Mus musculus: one gene and its partner. The protein of the gene in region 1 purifies or fractionates together with the protein of each later gene. This does not show direct contact. Links are inferred from orthologs where the notes say so. Each region holds a gene or a part of one and is shown in the gene's direction. Other genes may lie near its edges.

The links.
Region 2: the proteins of Rnf19a (region 1) and Sod1 purify together in Homo sapiens (affinity purification with western blotting, with the first as the bait; 3 studies listed by BioGRID). This does not show direct contact. The link is inferred for Mus musculus from reciprocal best matches to the Homo sapiens genes RNF19A and SOD1.

Annotation. Positions count from the first base shown.
Region 1 is NC_000081.6:36,243,166-36,251,304, reverse strand, and holds part of Rnf19a (E3 ubiquitin-protein ligase RNF19A), read left to right. Parts: intron 1-3,439; coding exon 3,440-3,554; intron 3,555-4,021; coding exon 4,022-4,183; intron 4,184-5,675; coding exon 5,676-5,889; intron 5,890-7,074; coding exon 7,075-7,218; intron 7,219-8,139. UniProt on the Homo sapiens protein: E3 ubiquitin-protein ligase which accepts ubiquitin from E2 ubiquitin-conjugating enzymes UBE2L3 and UBE2L6 in the form of a thioester and then directly transfers the ubiquitin to targeted substrates, such as SNCAIP or CASR.
Region 2 is NC_000082.6:90,222,104-90,229,814, forward strand, and holds the end of Sod1 (superoxide dismutase [Cu-Zn]), read left to right. Parts: intron 1-676; coding exon 677-773; intron 774-2,252; coding exon 2,253-2,322; intron 2,323-3,041; coding exon 3,042-3,159; intron 3,160-4,046; coding exon 4,047-4,154; 3' UTR 4,155-4,230; downstream 4,231-7,711. Other genes in the region: Scaf4 (SR-related and CTD-associated factor 4), read right to left, coding at 7,195-7,711. UniProt on the Homo sapiens protein: Destroys radicals which are normally produced within the cells and which are toxic to biological systems.

The DNA of each region.
Region 1 (8,139 bases):
AAAAAAAAGCAAGGAGGGAAAGAGTTATTGGGCTTATACTTTCACCTTGTATTCTATCACTGAAAGAAACAAGAATAGGAACTCAAGCTGGGCAGTGGTGGTGCAGATTTCTGAGTTTGAGACCATCCTGGTCTACAAAGTGAGTCCCAGGATAGCCAGAGCTATAAGAGAAACCCTGTCTTGAAAAACAAAAAAACAAACAAACAAAAGAATAGGAACTCAAACACATTAGGAACCTGGAGGAGGAGCTGCTGCAGAGGCCATGGAAGGGTGCTGCTTACTGGCTTGCTCCCCAAGGCTTGTTCAGCCTACTTTCTTATAGAACCCAGGACCACCAGCCCAGATACAGCACCACCCACCATCACTGGGCCCCACCAGTCACTGATTAAGGAAAGGCCTTAGAGCCGGATGGATCTTATGGAGGCTTCTTGTCAATTGTGGTTTGCTCCTCTCAGATGACTCGAGCTTGTGTCGAGGTGACATGACAGCCACCACAGCCACTGTTGTTAGGAAATACTTAGGTGGAGTCAGACTTCCCATTGTGTCTTAGTTCTGTGTATGCATAGTGCTCCTACACTTAGGATGAGAATGATCTTCTTCTGTAAGACAGCTACATGTACTTCATTTGCCTGCATGTCTGGTGCTTGCAGAAGCCAGAAGACAGCATGAGATTCCCCCAGAATGAGTTACAGACAGTTAGGAGCCGCCATGTAGTGCTGGTACTCAAACTCCGCTCTCTGGAAGAGCAGCATGTACTGTTAACTGCTGGGCCATCCTTCTAGCCCTGAAAATACAATCCAAAAAAAAAAAAAAAGGAAAACCAACATTACTTTTTAATTAGTTTTCATAGAAAGGCATATAGCTGGTTGGTACAGTACTTTGTCTAAGGAGGTTCTCTGTTAGATCCCAGATAGGAAAAAGAAAAAAAAGTTTTGGTGACTGGTGAGGAGGAACATAGATATCTCTAAGTGTTTATTTCAGAAGGCTCTTAAATAACCCTGTAAAGTGAGTGAGTTAGGGCCACAGCATGGTGGTAGAGCGTACAGCATGTGCAAGGGCCTGGATTTTATTCAGAACACTACAAAGAAGAAAAATAAATTATTTCCAATATACAAACTGTTGCTGTGATAAAACACAATGACCAAAAGCAACTTGGCGGTGGAAGGGCTTATTTGGTTTAGCTTCCTGATCACAGTTGATCATGGAAGGAAGTTGGGATGGAGCCTGGAGGCAGGAACTGAAGTACATTCCTTGAAGAGCTCTGCTTCCTGGATTGTGTTCTTATATGACCCAGGACCACTTGCCCAGAGGTGGAAACACCTACTGTAGGCTGGGTTATCAAGCATTAATCAAGAAAATGCCCCCACAGGCATGCCCATGGGTTAATCTAGTGTGAGCATTTTCCTTCCTTCCTTCCTTCCTTCCTTCCTTCCTTCCTTCCTTCCTTCCTTCCTTCCTTCCTTCCTTCTTTCCTTCCTTCCTTCCTTCCTTCCTTTTGCTTGTTTGGTTTTTTTGTTGTTTTTTCAGACAGGGTTTCTCTGAAGCCCTGGCTGTCCTGGAACTTGCTTTGTAGACCAGGCTGGCCTTGAACTCAGAGATCAACCATCTCTGCCTCTGGAATGCCGAGATTAAAGGTGTGTGCCACCACTGGCCAGTTTAGTATGGGCATTTTCTCTGTTAAGGGTCCCTCTTCCCAAATGATTCTAGCTTATGTCAGGTTGACAAAACACTAAGCAGCAAAGGAGCCTATTTTAATAACCTTTCATGCAGTTTACCAAAAAGATTTTTATTGAAAGCTCCAGTGCTTGGGAGGCTAAACCAGGATTGTAGCAATTATGGGCCAGGCTAGGCTGTAGTCCAAGACTCTGCATCACAAAAAATGTGAAGTGCCTATTGTTGTTTATACATGTACCTAAAGGGCAGGTTGATGTATTAGTGTTTCCTTTAAATAATGTTCTGTGATGTTTGGGATTGTATCAGCTCAGGAAAACCTAGTAAGTCCAGAAAGTGCCAGAAAACAGCTTTTAGTTACAACAAAAAGTAGAAGATGTGCCAAGAATAACAAACAAGCTAGGCATGCATATCACCAGCATTTAGGAGGTAGAAGCAGGCGGATCAGGAGTTCAAGGCTACATGATGAGTTGAGGAAAGCCTGAGCTACATGAGGTTAGGTGTTAAGAAGCTAGGGGTGAGGTCTCGGGAGATGGCTCAGTGATTAAGACTCTTCCAGAAGAGTTCTCAGTACCAGTGGGCAGCTTACAACTATCTGTAACTCTAGTCCCAAAGGATCCAGTGACCTCTTCTGGCCTCTCTGGCCAAAGGGCACACACATGGGTCACATACACATATAATGAAGTTTTAAAAATGAAAGAAACTAGTAGAAGCCTCCAAAGATGATAGGCTGTGCTGTACATCTATACTCCCAGCACATGAGAGGCTGAGGCAGGGGGATTACCTCAACTTCAAGGCCAGCCTGGACTGTATATAGAGCAATGTCCTGTCTTAGGAAGAAAAGAAGGAAGTGGGGGGGGGGGGATTGGGGAGAGCAAAAGCTGACAGAGGGTTCCTTTCCTTCCCATGATCTCATCTGTGTAGCTTAGCTTTGCCCTGCTGCAGGACCATGCCCAGGAATGGCTGAAAAGGATCTGTAGAACAAAACATAGAAGGGAGGACCTAGCACTTTACGTTAGAGACTACCTGTGTGCTCTGGAGGCTGTTCACTGTTCACAAGATGTCTTGAAACAGATGGGGAAATGCCCTTCATTAGTTTGGCTCCTACAGGCCCAAGAACAAAGCTACTAAAGTATTTCCCACTTTCATTTAATAACTCACAATCCATTTTTATGGCAATAATTCTATTTACTAATGTGGATTGTACAATGATGCTAAGTAAATTTAACTCCTTTGGTAACTGTTACTTTTCCTTGTCTATTTATTTGAACTACAAATAGGATTTTGATAATAATTTTGTTAATATTTTCTATCATAAAAAGGTATCTGGAGAAAAGTTGTATTTTAGTGATATTTGATTCATACAGCTCCTGCTTAGACTCAGCTTTTTCTTAAGAGTAAAAACAATCGCAGAAACCTCTCCTGGGGCAGATTCAGGGGGTCTTCTTTAGAGAGAAACCTGTGGAACTCTAATACTGTTTTTGTGAGATGGAATCTCATGGCCTGGGCCAGCTTTAAAGCAGCATTGTACACAAGAAAGACGTTTAACTTGTGACTCAAACTAAGATCTCCTGAGCCACTGCCTTCTTCTGTAACCAGGTCCTTAATAAGGAGCAATTTTGATATTGTGGTTTACCTTGAAGTAGAGCATTTGATTGGGATTGTGTGAGAAATTACTTCAGCTTTCTTATATGAGAAGAACTGTTTCATCTAAACTAAATTTATAATTTTTTCTCTCTCTAAACTTCCATTCCCATTTAAATTTAAGATTCATAATCGCTATGAAGGCAAAGATGTTTCAAAACATAAGCGGAATCTGGCCATAGCAGGCGGTGTCACCCTGTCTGTAATCGTGTCTCCGGTGGTAGCTGCAGTGACTGTAGGTAAGAATGGGCTTTACATCTTAGAAAGGTATTTTTAACTACTATGTTGTTGCTAAGAGTATTACTTTTAAAATGAAGAAGCAGTTTAAGTAGAAAACCTACAGAAGATTTCTCAAGTAACTTCATTAAAGTACTGTATACTGGAGAACCTAGTTTTAAGGCTGGGGCTTTAGTTCAGGGTTTCAGCGCTTCCCTCAGACATACACATAAGGCCCTATTTGGTCCCCAAGAACCGGTCAGGATAACTGATTGAGTAGCCCTTCTCCTCCACTTGCGTTGAGGAGCTTGTACTTAAAAAGTTCACAGACTCTTCTGTCCCTCATGGATACCCGAAGGCTACCTGGGAGTCTTGTATTTGCTGTATTCTAGCCAGATCTTCAGAGCTCTGTATACCTTCTCCTGAAATAGACATCATATTTCTGTGGTTTATTTTTGGTTTCTAATGACTTGATTTTACTCCCTTCTAGGCATTGGTGTTCCCATCATGCTAGCTTATGTCTATGGTGTGGTCCCAATTTCTCTCTGCCGAAGTGGGGGTTGTGGTGTCTCTGCGGGCAATGGGAAAGGAGTGAGGATTGAGTTTGATGATGAGAATGACATAAACGTCGGTGGGACTAACGCAGCCATAGGTGAGTCCTCAGACAGGAAAGGACTCGTGTCTTCATTATACCGTCTCCCTTTACTAGGCTCACTCTCCCTCTTCTCTCTTCTTCTCTTTCCTCTTTCACTCTGAGACAGGGTCTCACTGTAAAGTCTTGGCTGGCCTGGAACTTACTGTACACAGCAGGCTGGCTCTTGTTCCCATGTGATGGGGTTAAAGGTCATACGTGACAGACGGCTTGTAGTTTTCATGCAGAAGCTCAGCTGTGACAGGAGCTACCCAAGGCAGGAGTGAGTGAGAGAGAGAGAGAGAGAGAGAGAGAGAGAGAGAGAGAGGTGGTTCTGGTGCTTAACTCTTACTGAGAATGCCCTCTGGAAGGTAGAACCTTTGCCTGCACTGCTGTGCTCGGTACATTGTGACGTCCTGAGAAAAGGATGTGAGGAGAAATGAAAACAGTTACAGGTGGCCGATAAATCAAAACATTGTATTATTCAAAGAAATACGAATTAGAACTGTCATGGGCAGAAGTACAAAGAACCAAAGGCTTTACATACTGCCAGTAGAGTGTCAGTGATCAGCTTGCTTTAAACAGTGCTTTTTCTATACCCAGCAGTTTTTGTCACACCTGTTTTGTACTTTATGTGGATCTCTACAAGTGTCCCAGCCAGCTCCTCAGAACCCTGTCACTTTACTTCTGATTAGCTTCTCTTGAAATCTCACAATTGTCTACATGGAGAGCAGGGTGTCAGATGCCCTTGTTAAGGTCCAACTCCTACCCTGACTATCTGCATACACCCCTTCCCATCCTGTCTTACCCCACCTCTCCTCAAAGATGACAGTTACACTCCTGTTTCTAGGCTTTTAAACTTGTGGTTGCCTCTGCCTGGAATACTCTTCTCTCAGATAATTCTATGGCATACTTTTTCCCTGCCTTACAAATGCGACCTTATAAGAGGGCTTCATGGTCATATCCTAAAAGCTGTGTGCAGGGCTTACACATGTGTGCCACCATCTCTCCTTACTCTCTTACCTCCAGTGGTTCTGATAGCTTTGTTACACTATGATTGGATGTGTAATAGAAACCCAAATACTGGCATAAATAAGTAAATTCCTCAATACAAAGCATGTGAATAGTACTGTAAAATTACAACATAATGCTAACATGTCTTACAGTAGTTATAGACAATTAGAACTATAAACTATGAAATCAACTTCTTTCCCCATCTTTACTGATCTAGAAAATAGGATCTCTCACTGGAACCCCATGCTGGCCAGGGAGACATATTAAATAGTTCATTTAAAATTCCTACAACTTCTGGAATTAGCCAACAAAATAAGAAAATGACATCTTCAATTTAAGGCCAGTATCAAATTGAGCTGCACACCCTGAACTAGTTCTCTTTATGCCTAAGCATGGATGTAGTTTGTCCTTTGTAGTCTGAGATGATGTAGGAGTTGAAAGCCAGGAACATGAGGAAGGGGTCACTCCTATTTCATTTCTTGAATTATTTTACATTCAGATACAACATCAGTAGCAGAAGCAAGGCACAACCCTAGCATAGGAGAGGGAAGTGTCGGCGGCCTGACTGGCAGTTTGAGTGCAAGTGGAAGCCACATGGATCGAATAGGCACCATTAGAGACAACCTGAGTGAGACAGCGAGCACCATGGCATTAGCTGGAGCTAGTATCACGGGCAGTCTGTCGGGAAGTGCCATGGTAAACTGTTTCAACAGGTAAGTAAGAGCTGTTTGCTTTGTTTTGTTAAAGACCAGATATTAATTAGATGAACAATTTAAATACAAAGCATGATAATTATCCTAAGGTTAAAAAATAAAATTTGGGGAAAGTTGATAAGATTTTTTTGTTGTTGTTTTTTGTATTTTGTGTTTTTTTACTGTACTTGATACTGATGGAATAAAAACTAAGTCCTGAGGAATAACATTGCCCCTGTTAAAGCTCACCTAATTGCTGGAGCTGTGTGAGTGAAGGGAAGGCCATGACTTGCCTGGTCCCTGCTTCTGTGGGACAGACTGAATGTCCGAGGGAGGGAGGGAGACTTGACCCGCCGGTGCCCCAGATCCTGACACCAGCCTGGAGCAGTCAGTCGCCCTGCACCCTAAAGTGACAATGACCATCTCTCACTAAGTCTCACTCATACCCATAGAGATACAAGGAAAAATTAACATAATTATCTTACCTTGTTTTGTTTGTTTTTCTGATTCACCATTTCTGTTTTAGCTTTTTTATGTGAAGGAAGGTAGATGAATTAAAAGATAAATCAGTTTAGTTTGGGTAGTTTATAGTTGGACAGAAATTAATTGTAGTCGTATATATTGTTACCTCTTATTACACAATCAGATGTGGGCTGAAGTTGTTTATTAGAACCCTTTCAGTATAGAATTTTTTTTTTCATTATTATTTGAGATGGAGTCTCACTATATAGCCCTGGCTAACCTAAAACTCAACATATAGGCCAGGCTGCCCTCAAACTCAAATGATCAGCCTGCCTTTGTCTCCTAAGGGGATAGGATTAAAGATGCTTGCTACCATATGCAGTTAATAGAGGATAATAATTTTTTTAATTACTTGCTGATTTTTTTATGTTTATCAGTCAGTATATTCTGACTTTGTATTGTGTATTGAAACATGACAAAGGACTGTATCCTAGTGAAAATGAAGGAGAGCTTTAAGATGTTTTTGTTTGTTTTTCTCCTTTTGGTCATGTTCTCTTGACTCTCTTGGGCGGATGTTGTTCAGTATACCACATTATTATCTGTATCGTCAAACAAATGGGAACCGAAGAGTTGCAGTGTCTAACACTTCATTACTGAAGCTTTTATCTGACTTATATATAAAGATAGGCATTATGATTGCTAAGCTATAAATGATGGAGGGCTTATATAACCTTTCCCTTTAAGGTTGGAAGTACAAGCAGACGTACAGAAAGAACGGTGTAGTCTCAGTGGAGAGTCTGGCACAGTGAGCTTGGGAACAGTTAGTGATAACGCCAGCACCAAAGCAATGGCGGGATCCATTCTCAACTCCTACATCCCTCTGGACAGGTAAGAAAGCGTGCTTCTTCCTATAAGATCAGAGCGTTTTTTAAAATTTAAATTAAAAGGAATTATCCCTGTCAGTGGGCACAGTCTCTGAGAAAACAGTGAGCTGTTCAGAGGAAGAACTCCGTTAAGGGAAAAAGTAACTGTGGTTGTGAAGAGCAGGGAGGAGAGGCCTGTGGTATAGAACTGTGTGGCTGTGAAGAGCAGGGAGGAGAGGCCTGTGGTGTAGAACTGTGTGGCTGTGAAGAGCAGGGAGGAGAGGCCTGTGGTGTAGACACAGGCTGAATGATGAAAAATGTCCTGAGGTAGGAAATGCTGATGGCTGTGCCCACAACAGAAAAACAGTAAATGTACCTACTGCTGTTTTTAAACGTGAAGCATTAGCCCTACCAGACCTGAGACCCTGCGTTTAATTAACCCACAGCCTGACCTCCTGAGCAAAAGTTTGAAAAAAAAGAAAGAAGAAAAGTAGAGAGAGACTTCAGAAAACTGTTAATAACATGCATTAACAGTGGTTAGATTTAGATGAAACTTGGAGAGATTGTAGAAAGTAGGTCTGCCTTGCTTCTATCGCTGGTACTCCAGCTTCTGTGTGCCAGGCTGCCCAACGGGGAGAGCCTTCCTTGACTCAGGTCAAAAAGCACAGGTACTTTTTGTAGTGTGTGCACCAGAACCTTGGTCTTGAATCTCTTGTGTAGGTTGTCCTTGTATGATACTCCAGGGTTCTATCTGTTGTACGTAAGGGCTTCTCCATGCACACAGGACATAGCACACACATAGTCACTTGAAGTGCCCAGCAGAATTTCAGGGAAATGGTAGCCTGTGGTCCCTGATAAACAAGGAGAGAAGATCTGTGCCCATGCTTTCTTCAGTGACATGACCTGGACTGTTCACTGGCCCATTATTATCCTTACTGACGCTTAG
Region 2 (7,711 bases), on another chromosome or scaffold:
TAAAAAAAAAAAAACCTAAAAAATGATTGTCCTTGCTTGTTGGTCGGTTGCTCTTACATTTTCTCCCTATTGCTACACTTTCTGGAGCAGTACTAATTTGAATTTTGGGTGTTCTTTTCTTTTTTGTTAAGTGGCAAATTTTCTAGATTTGGATAGCTAATGAGATTTTTTTTTTAAGGTAGCTCTGGTTAGACCCAAATGGATCTCCACAGGCAGTAGGACAAAGGCATTTTCTGACCACTAAATAAAAATAGGGGAACTGATAAAATCACTGAATGTGGAGAACAGGGTTCTCGGCAGCCAGTGTTCTGTAAGAGTCAAGTCTGACAGTGCAGTAGCCATCTCTTCCCCAGGCCTGGCATTCAGTAGCCCCTGTTTGTTCCACCTGGTGCTTTCTAAATGCTGTTCAGTCCAGGTGCCTGCACACATGGCATCTGGCAGCAAGTGTTAGGAGAAGTGTGACAGGGAGAGAGAGGCCTAGAGCTGAGCGTCTCCAGAGCCACCCTGTAGGAAGTGGGTCTACTTGGATCTGAACATAGGTTTGATTTTCACTGTTGTGTGTTTTGACTTGAGCTTTTTACTGTGCTTGGTTAGGGTGTAACCCAGCAACAGCCCTGGTGCAGGAGTATTTACACTCAAACTTGATGTCTTCATTTTTGTATTTTTTTAAATCAAGGCAAGCGGTGAACCAGTTGTGTTGTCAGGACAAATTACAGGATTAACTGAAGGCCAGCATGGGTTCCACGTCCATCAGTATGGGGACAATACACAAGGTAGGTCCTAGGCTGGCTAGTGACCAGTGATGGAAAGGAACTGAGTCAGGACCCAATTACTAACCATTTAAAACTATCTCGTTTGTTTTCTTTTTCTTTTAGATAAAGTTAAAATGACCACTTAGGTCAACCTTGGAAAGTAGCCACAAAAGTATTTTATTTAGTATCAAGTATTGCTTGCTTCCTTAAGTGTGGGAAGGTAAAGAAGGTGATTTTTCTTCATTGTAATTATAATTAAGCAGCACCTTGCTTATTCTGGGTGTTTATTGGGTGCTTATTTGGGTGTTTGGAGCTGGGCGTTGAGGATGGATGCATTAGGCAGAGTGTCTAAGGACAACCATGCCTTAGCATGAGAGGCATAGCGGGACAGAAGTGACAAAAACTGAAGATTCAATATAAATGCTTAAGTAAGATTTATTTTCTCTATTTGGGATTAGAATCAAGTCAGTAAAAAGTAGTGGCTTAAATTGCAGTTAGTGAACTTTTACCATATTGGAGTAATGATCTGAATTTGCTTACCGTCATTTAAGAGCCTCATCCATGTTGCGAGAGCCTTTTCCTTTCCTCTCCTTCTCCCCTGCCTTCTTCCCTTCTCCACATAGCCCACGGTGGCCTGGAATTTAGTCTTGTGTGTGCTGTGTTAAAGGCATGTACCATCAACCTGTGTGCTATGTGCCATAATTTGTTCTACAGTTACTTAGGATTGGGTTTGACCCATTTGATAATTACTAAAGTTACCCCGAGTTGCCTCTGGCCTGGTAGCTTTGATTTGTTAAGCTCCTTCCAGAATCCTGCCCAGTTCCTATTTTCTTGGTCTGAGTAAACACTGGAAGTCCTGCATATAAAAGGACTTGCTGCATTGTTGAGCTGTGCCTTGTGACTGGCATCCCTTAGCCCACATGAGTAGTGTGGTACACCTCCTGGAGTTGAGGACACCAGCCCTGGCCCTTGGGAACAAGCCATCTAACAGTCTGCCTGCCCCAAGTAAAAGCTAGACAGGTGAGCTGTTTGGTGGCACATGGTCTAGAAAGATAAGTATTTTTATCATGAAGTATGCTCCCTTCTTAAAAGCCAAGGTCTTTAAATGTGGGACTTTAACTTTAGAAGTGCCATTAAAGATCACATCTGTTCCAGTTACAAGGAAGGAACAAGAGCCAGGCATGCTGTCCTGACACTGCCATGGCCCTAAGGCTAAGGTGGGAGGGTCATAGGTCGCAGATATCCTGAGCTGTAGTAGTGAGACACTGTCTCAAAACTCAAAAGCAAACAAAAAGAAAAATGTGACAGTCTAGGAAAAAAAGGTAGCCTGAGAATGTAAGGCTATACAGTGCAGCTACTTACACCAGGGCGCTGCTGCCTGTTTTTATCGCCCCAGCACATACCAGGTCAGTGTTTGCTATGTTGGAGGTTGTAAGAATGCCTGTGTTGTTACATATAGGGGTTTACTTCATAATCTGACTGCTGGTTTCTGGTAAATAGGCTGTACCAGTGCAGGACCTCATTTTAATCCTCACTCTAAGAAACATGGTGGCCCGGCGGATGAAGAGAGGTGAGCAGCACGCTCTGTATGCATGGTGGAGGAGAGGGGTCTGTGGAGGACCCCAGTAAGACAGAACTGCATGGCCTCCTGCCTCTGCTTTTGTGTTTGTTTCCATTCACCCAACTCACTCCCACAACCCCACGTGCTAGAATAGCTTCTGTTGGGTGAAGGAGCTGACAAATGTGGACTCTTAAAGTGATTTGGTTTTGTAGCATTTATTGAAGATGAACTAATACAAGTGCCAAAAGGAACCAATACAGAAAATATCATGGATAACAGTACTGTCAGTCACTGGCAAAGTAAATCATTGTATAATAGGACGCTAATGCAGATAATGAAAACTAGTTGAGATTCCATTTGTATGTGAAACCTTAGGAAAGTCCTAAATAAAGAAGGGCTAGCCTGTTTTTAGAATGGGGGCCTGGGAGCAAACCTTTGCTAACTCAGGAGCTGGCATACTTTACTAAAGCCCCAGATTATGACTCTTCTCAGAGCACTACCTTTAAACTTGAAGAACTGTCTGTCAAGGTATCCTGTAGCTACCTGTTTTGAACTTTGTGTTTCCAGACCTTTGCCGGTCTGGAAAAGCCATCATAGTTGATAATGTATGTGTACTTTTTCATCCACTCATACGTATTTGACTTAGTCAGATTTTAACTTAGTTATTGAACTCTAGTGATGTGAAATAGACATCATTGTTCATCCACCTGATGCTGTTTTAATGTTAGGCATGTTGGAGACCTGGGCAATGTGACTGCTGGAAAGGACGGTGTGGCCAATGTGTCCATTGAAGATCGTGTGATCTCACTCTCAGGAGAGCATTCCATCATTGGCCGTACAATGGTGGTAAGTTTTTCATATAAGGATATATACATAGGATTTCTTCTAACATAGTTATGTACCTTCCCATGACTTTATGGTGGTTAAACTAGTTTCTAAAGAGTCACATAAATTGTTAAGAGTTCAGGGTAGGAAAAAAGTTCTTTTATTGGCTGTGATAGTAAAGAATTAATTTGCCTAGGTCAGTTAAGAACACTGTTGTGCTGAAATGCAGTAGAAAGCAGTTACATTTGATGAGACTGGATCTGAGTTGAGGATACAATAGTCTTTAGTCTAAAACAGCCGGATTTTCTTGCCATGATTGCCCCCCCCCTTGCAACATTTCGTTGAGTCTAAAATCTGCGATGGATGGCAGTATTCAAGTCTGTAGGTTATCGCTTGGTTACCATATGGGAGCCGTCTTCCCAAGTTACCCTCGGGAGATGCATCTGGGTCATGCAGAACACCAAGTAGTAAAGGCTCTTGCCCACCTCGGGCAGCTAACTTTTCAGTAGGCACTTCCTTCCTTGCAGTTGACCCTTTATCCTTAGAATGCTCTTCAGCCCTATTGGTGAAGCAGAACAGTCATTCATAAGTGTTGTAAAATAAAGCTTTAGAGTCTTGTTGCTAAGTAGAGATACTTAGAATTGCCTCTTATGTGTAGGCCTATAGTTCTTTCAACATGAGATTTTGATAGAGAAATTTGTAAGAATGACTACTGTGTAGTTGGGGAGGAGCTAAGATCAGCATGTACCTGGTAGTTACTTGGGTCTTAGTATTTCATCTAGAAATAGCCACTAGCAAGGAAAAACTTAGTGGTCTGCTCTTAACTGCTAGTATTTAAGTCTGTAGTATTGCTGGGAAGAAGTACTAGTTACTTGATCATTCAAACCTAAATGTTCTTCTTTTCAAAGGTCCATGAGAAACAAGATGACTTGGGCAAAGGTGGAAATGAAGAAAGTACAAAGACTGGAAATGCTGGGAGCCGCTTGGCCTGTGGAGTGATTGGGATTGCGCAGTAAACATTCCCTGTGTGGTCTGAGTCTCAGACTCATCTGCTACCCTCAAACCATTAAACTGTAATCTGAAGAGTTGTAACTGTGTGACTCCTTTGACTGGGCTAAGGACAGCAATGACAGCTGATGGAGACTGTGTACAACTCACTGAATTCAAATCTGTTTCTGTGCCTTTCCATATTTTGCCAGACTACACAGGTGATAAGCTGAAATTCTCATTTGAGCCTGTTAGTAAATATGTGTGGCACTTATTTTGAGCCTATTAATGTGTACAAAAAAAAATTTTAAGTTAGCTCTATACATTGAGCATCAATAACAGACTCAATGATGCTAACTCATAGTATTTCATTTTGAAAGTGTTTTATGTGATACCATCAAAATGGTGGGTGGTAGCCCAAACAAAATTTGAGCAGAAAATTTTCTGCCCCTTATCAGAGAAATTATTGAAAGCTCTCAAGATTCAGAGTACTTAACCTTATATTTTAAAATTGTATTAGGATTAGATGTCATGATTTAAGAAAAAGCCCTTTAGTAAACTTGTATCAAACTCATAGAAGGCAAACATGGAGCCTCAGCTAGCTCTACTAGCCAAGTGAAGTTGGTACCACCCATCTTTAAGGTTGGCACTCAGGGAAAACACAATAGCTCGGGGAATGACACCAAGTTTGACTGGAGGTTCTGGCTAAATCGACTTTTATAGCCCCAGGTAATGAAATTGAGTGCCTTAATACCCAAGAAAGAGTGCCTTTGAAAGGAAATATTAACAGGCTTGTGACTATCTGAAATAGTTCAATTGAAGTATTTTCAACAAATTGGGTGTAAACCATAGTTCTCACTGATATACTGAAGTCACTGAAGAAGAGACAACTAAATTGGAAAAGCACATAATTTGGTGTTTCCAACCTTAAAATTTTTAAGTTTAGATTTCCAATCTAAGATTGCTCATAATGCTTTTTCAAGTAGTTATGTTGAAGTTCCAGGTAAATCCTATGTAACTGATTTCCTTAATGTAGTTTTGATGTGGGGGATGACTCAATGCGGATTAACTTGGTAATCACAAACCATTTAGTGGCTCACGTCTCAGTATTTTTAGTTGGAAAGACAAGCTGCAAGTCTGTCCTTGGAATCTGACATTGGATCATCGTCGGATGCATGTTTTATGATACTCTAATAAGGACTTAAAAGCCTAAGTAGGGTCACCAGAAAGCTGAAGCCTGGCAAAGCTACAGACACATTTCTTCCATCATTAGGAAGAGCTCAGATCTAAATGTCAAATGGGAACATACAAAAAGGAACTTCTAGGTACGATAAAGCTAAGTTTGACAAGTTTTTTGTTTAACCTAGCACCTTGTAGTTTTAAAAATCATTTTTAGGGTGTGTGCACTAAGAGGAAAACAAGTTCATATTCTTCCACCTTTTATTGTCCCTGGGGTCAAATAGGCCATCAGGGTTGGCAGAAAGTGTCTACTGGCTAGGTTATCTTGTCTTCTAATGTAATTTGATGAAAAGAACTTTGACTGTAAGAGGTTCTCAACCTGTGGGTCGTGACCCCTTTGGGGTTGTATATCATCTATTCTTCCAATCAGATATTTATATTACAATTCATAACAGTAGCCAAAATTATAAAATAGCAACAAAAATAATTTCGTGGTTGGGGATCAGTAACTTTAGAAGATCACAGTATTAGGAAGGTTGAGAACCACTGCTGTAAATAAATACCTAACATTTAAGTCCTCGACTCTAGACAACACCCACCACCACCACCTTTCTTTTTGGTTTTTCAGGACAGGGTTTCTCTGTGTATAGCTTTGGCTGTCCTGGAATTCACTCTGTAGATCAGGCTGGGCTTGAACTCACAAGAGATCCACTTGCCTGAGGACTGGAACTACAGGTGTTTGCCACTACCACCTGGCAAAAATCATTTGGGTAAACTTCTTTTGGTTTCTTGAGAGAGGGTTTGTTGTAACCCTGGCTGTCCCAAACTTGTTCTGTAGACCAGGCTGGTCTTGAATTCAGAGATCCACCTGCCTTTGCCATTGCTGGGATTAAAGGTGTGCTGCCCTCTGGGCTTGGACAACACACTTTTATGTCAGTGCTTTTTAATACTATTAAGAGTCTTGGTTTGGCTTCAGGTGTAGTAGCAAAGGTTTGGTGTACTTCTTAGGCTATTGAAGATGGTAAAGACAACAGGCAAAGCTTACAAGAAATGGTATACTGTACCTAGTCTATAAAAGGGTTTCTCGTTGGATACATTAACCTCGTTTTTACACCTTGGAAATTCCAATGAGATGATTATAAACAACACATTCAACCTTCTAAATAAGTAATGCTCAAGCAATTAGGTAATTGGTAGTATAGTGCGTAATACTGGGAATCCAATTATTTCCCCTAACAAATCTCTCTTTTACAAATTAATTAGGGCAACATTACCACAAAGCCAATAGGAAAAAAGTAAAAACCCTAACCTGCAAACACAAATCTCTTAGTTGAACATTAAGACTACTAGCCTTTACCTTAGGATCAAAATATTAAGTCAAAAGAATAAAACTCCAAGTATTGGCAAATACTACATAAGTGGTTTTTTTTTCCCCCATCAAAGAAGTCTAATTTAGACTCCAACAATTATTAACAGCTCAGTTTTTGATGGTTAACATCCGTTCCATCTCACTGCAGTGTATGAAGAATAGCACACATTAACGTTTGTTACGAAAATAGAGTTTATTAAAAACATCCCTATGGTTTGAGGGGCTTTTCACCGTTACCTTATCTTAAATTAAAAAAAAAAAATAGAGAGCACTTCTAATTAGGATTTGTAAACTTTTAAAAGTCAAAACTTTTAAAAAGTTACAGCAAAAAAAGGGTAATATATCTTCAGTATTTTTTGTTATTTTTTTGGCTATTTTTAAATAGAAGGAAAGCAATCAAATTGCTTACAATCCCCACCAACTACTGTGGGATGATGTAGCAGGAGCGGATATTATACAGCATCTGTACACCTCATGTTCTACACCCAAGTGTCACTGTCACATTCTGTCACATCCAGTCTCTAGCGAGGAGGCTCTGCTGCTGAGCCAGGATCCTTCTCGGGTCCAACGGGTGAGGTAACCTCAGCAGGCGACTCTTCAGGCTTTACCACCGTGGCCATGGCCTCCCCCTTATTAAGTTCTGAGACAGTGTCTATGGTTCCCACTTGGCTAAGGGGAGGTTCCACAGCTTTGTTACCACCTGCCCTGTCTGCCACCTCGTGCTTCTCCTTTCGATTTTCTTCCTTCTCTCTACGGGACTCTCTATCTCTAGAATCCCTGTCTCTGTCCCGATGCCCACTAGAGCGTCTACTTCTCTCTTCCAAGTCTCTGTGCCTGTCCCGGTCAGGGCTCCTTCTTCCCCACTCTCTCCTTTCACGGTTACTATTATCTCTATCGTCATTACGGCTCCCATACCGTTCCCGGTCATTTTCCACCCTACTTCCAAAAGATCTTCTTCCAAACCTTTCTTGGTCTCTACCTGAGTTGAACTGCTGCCTGCTATCATTTCTAAACTGCGGTGGCTGCTGCTGAGCTGGC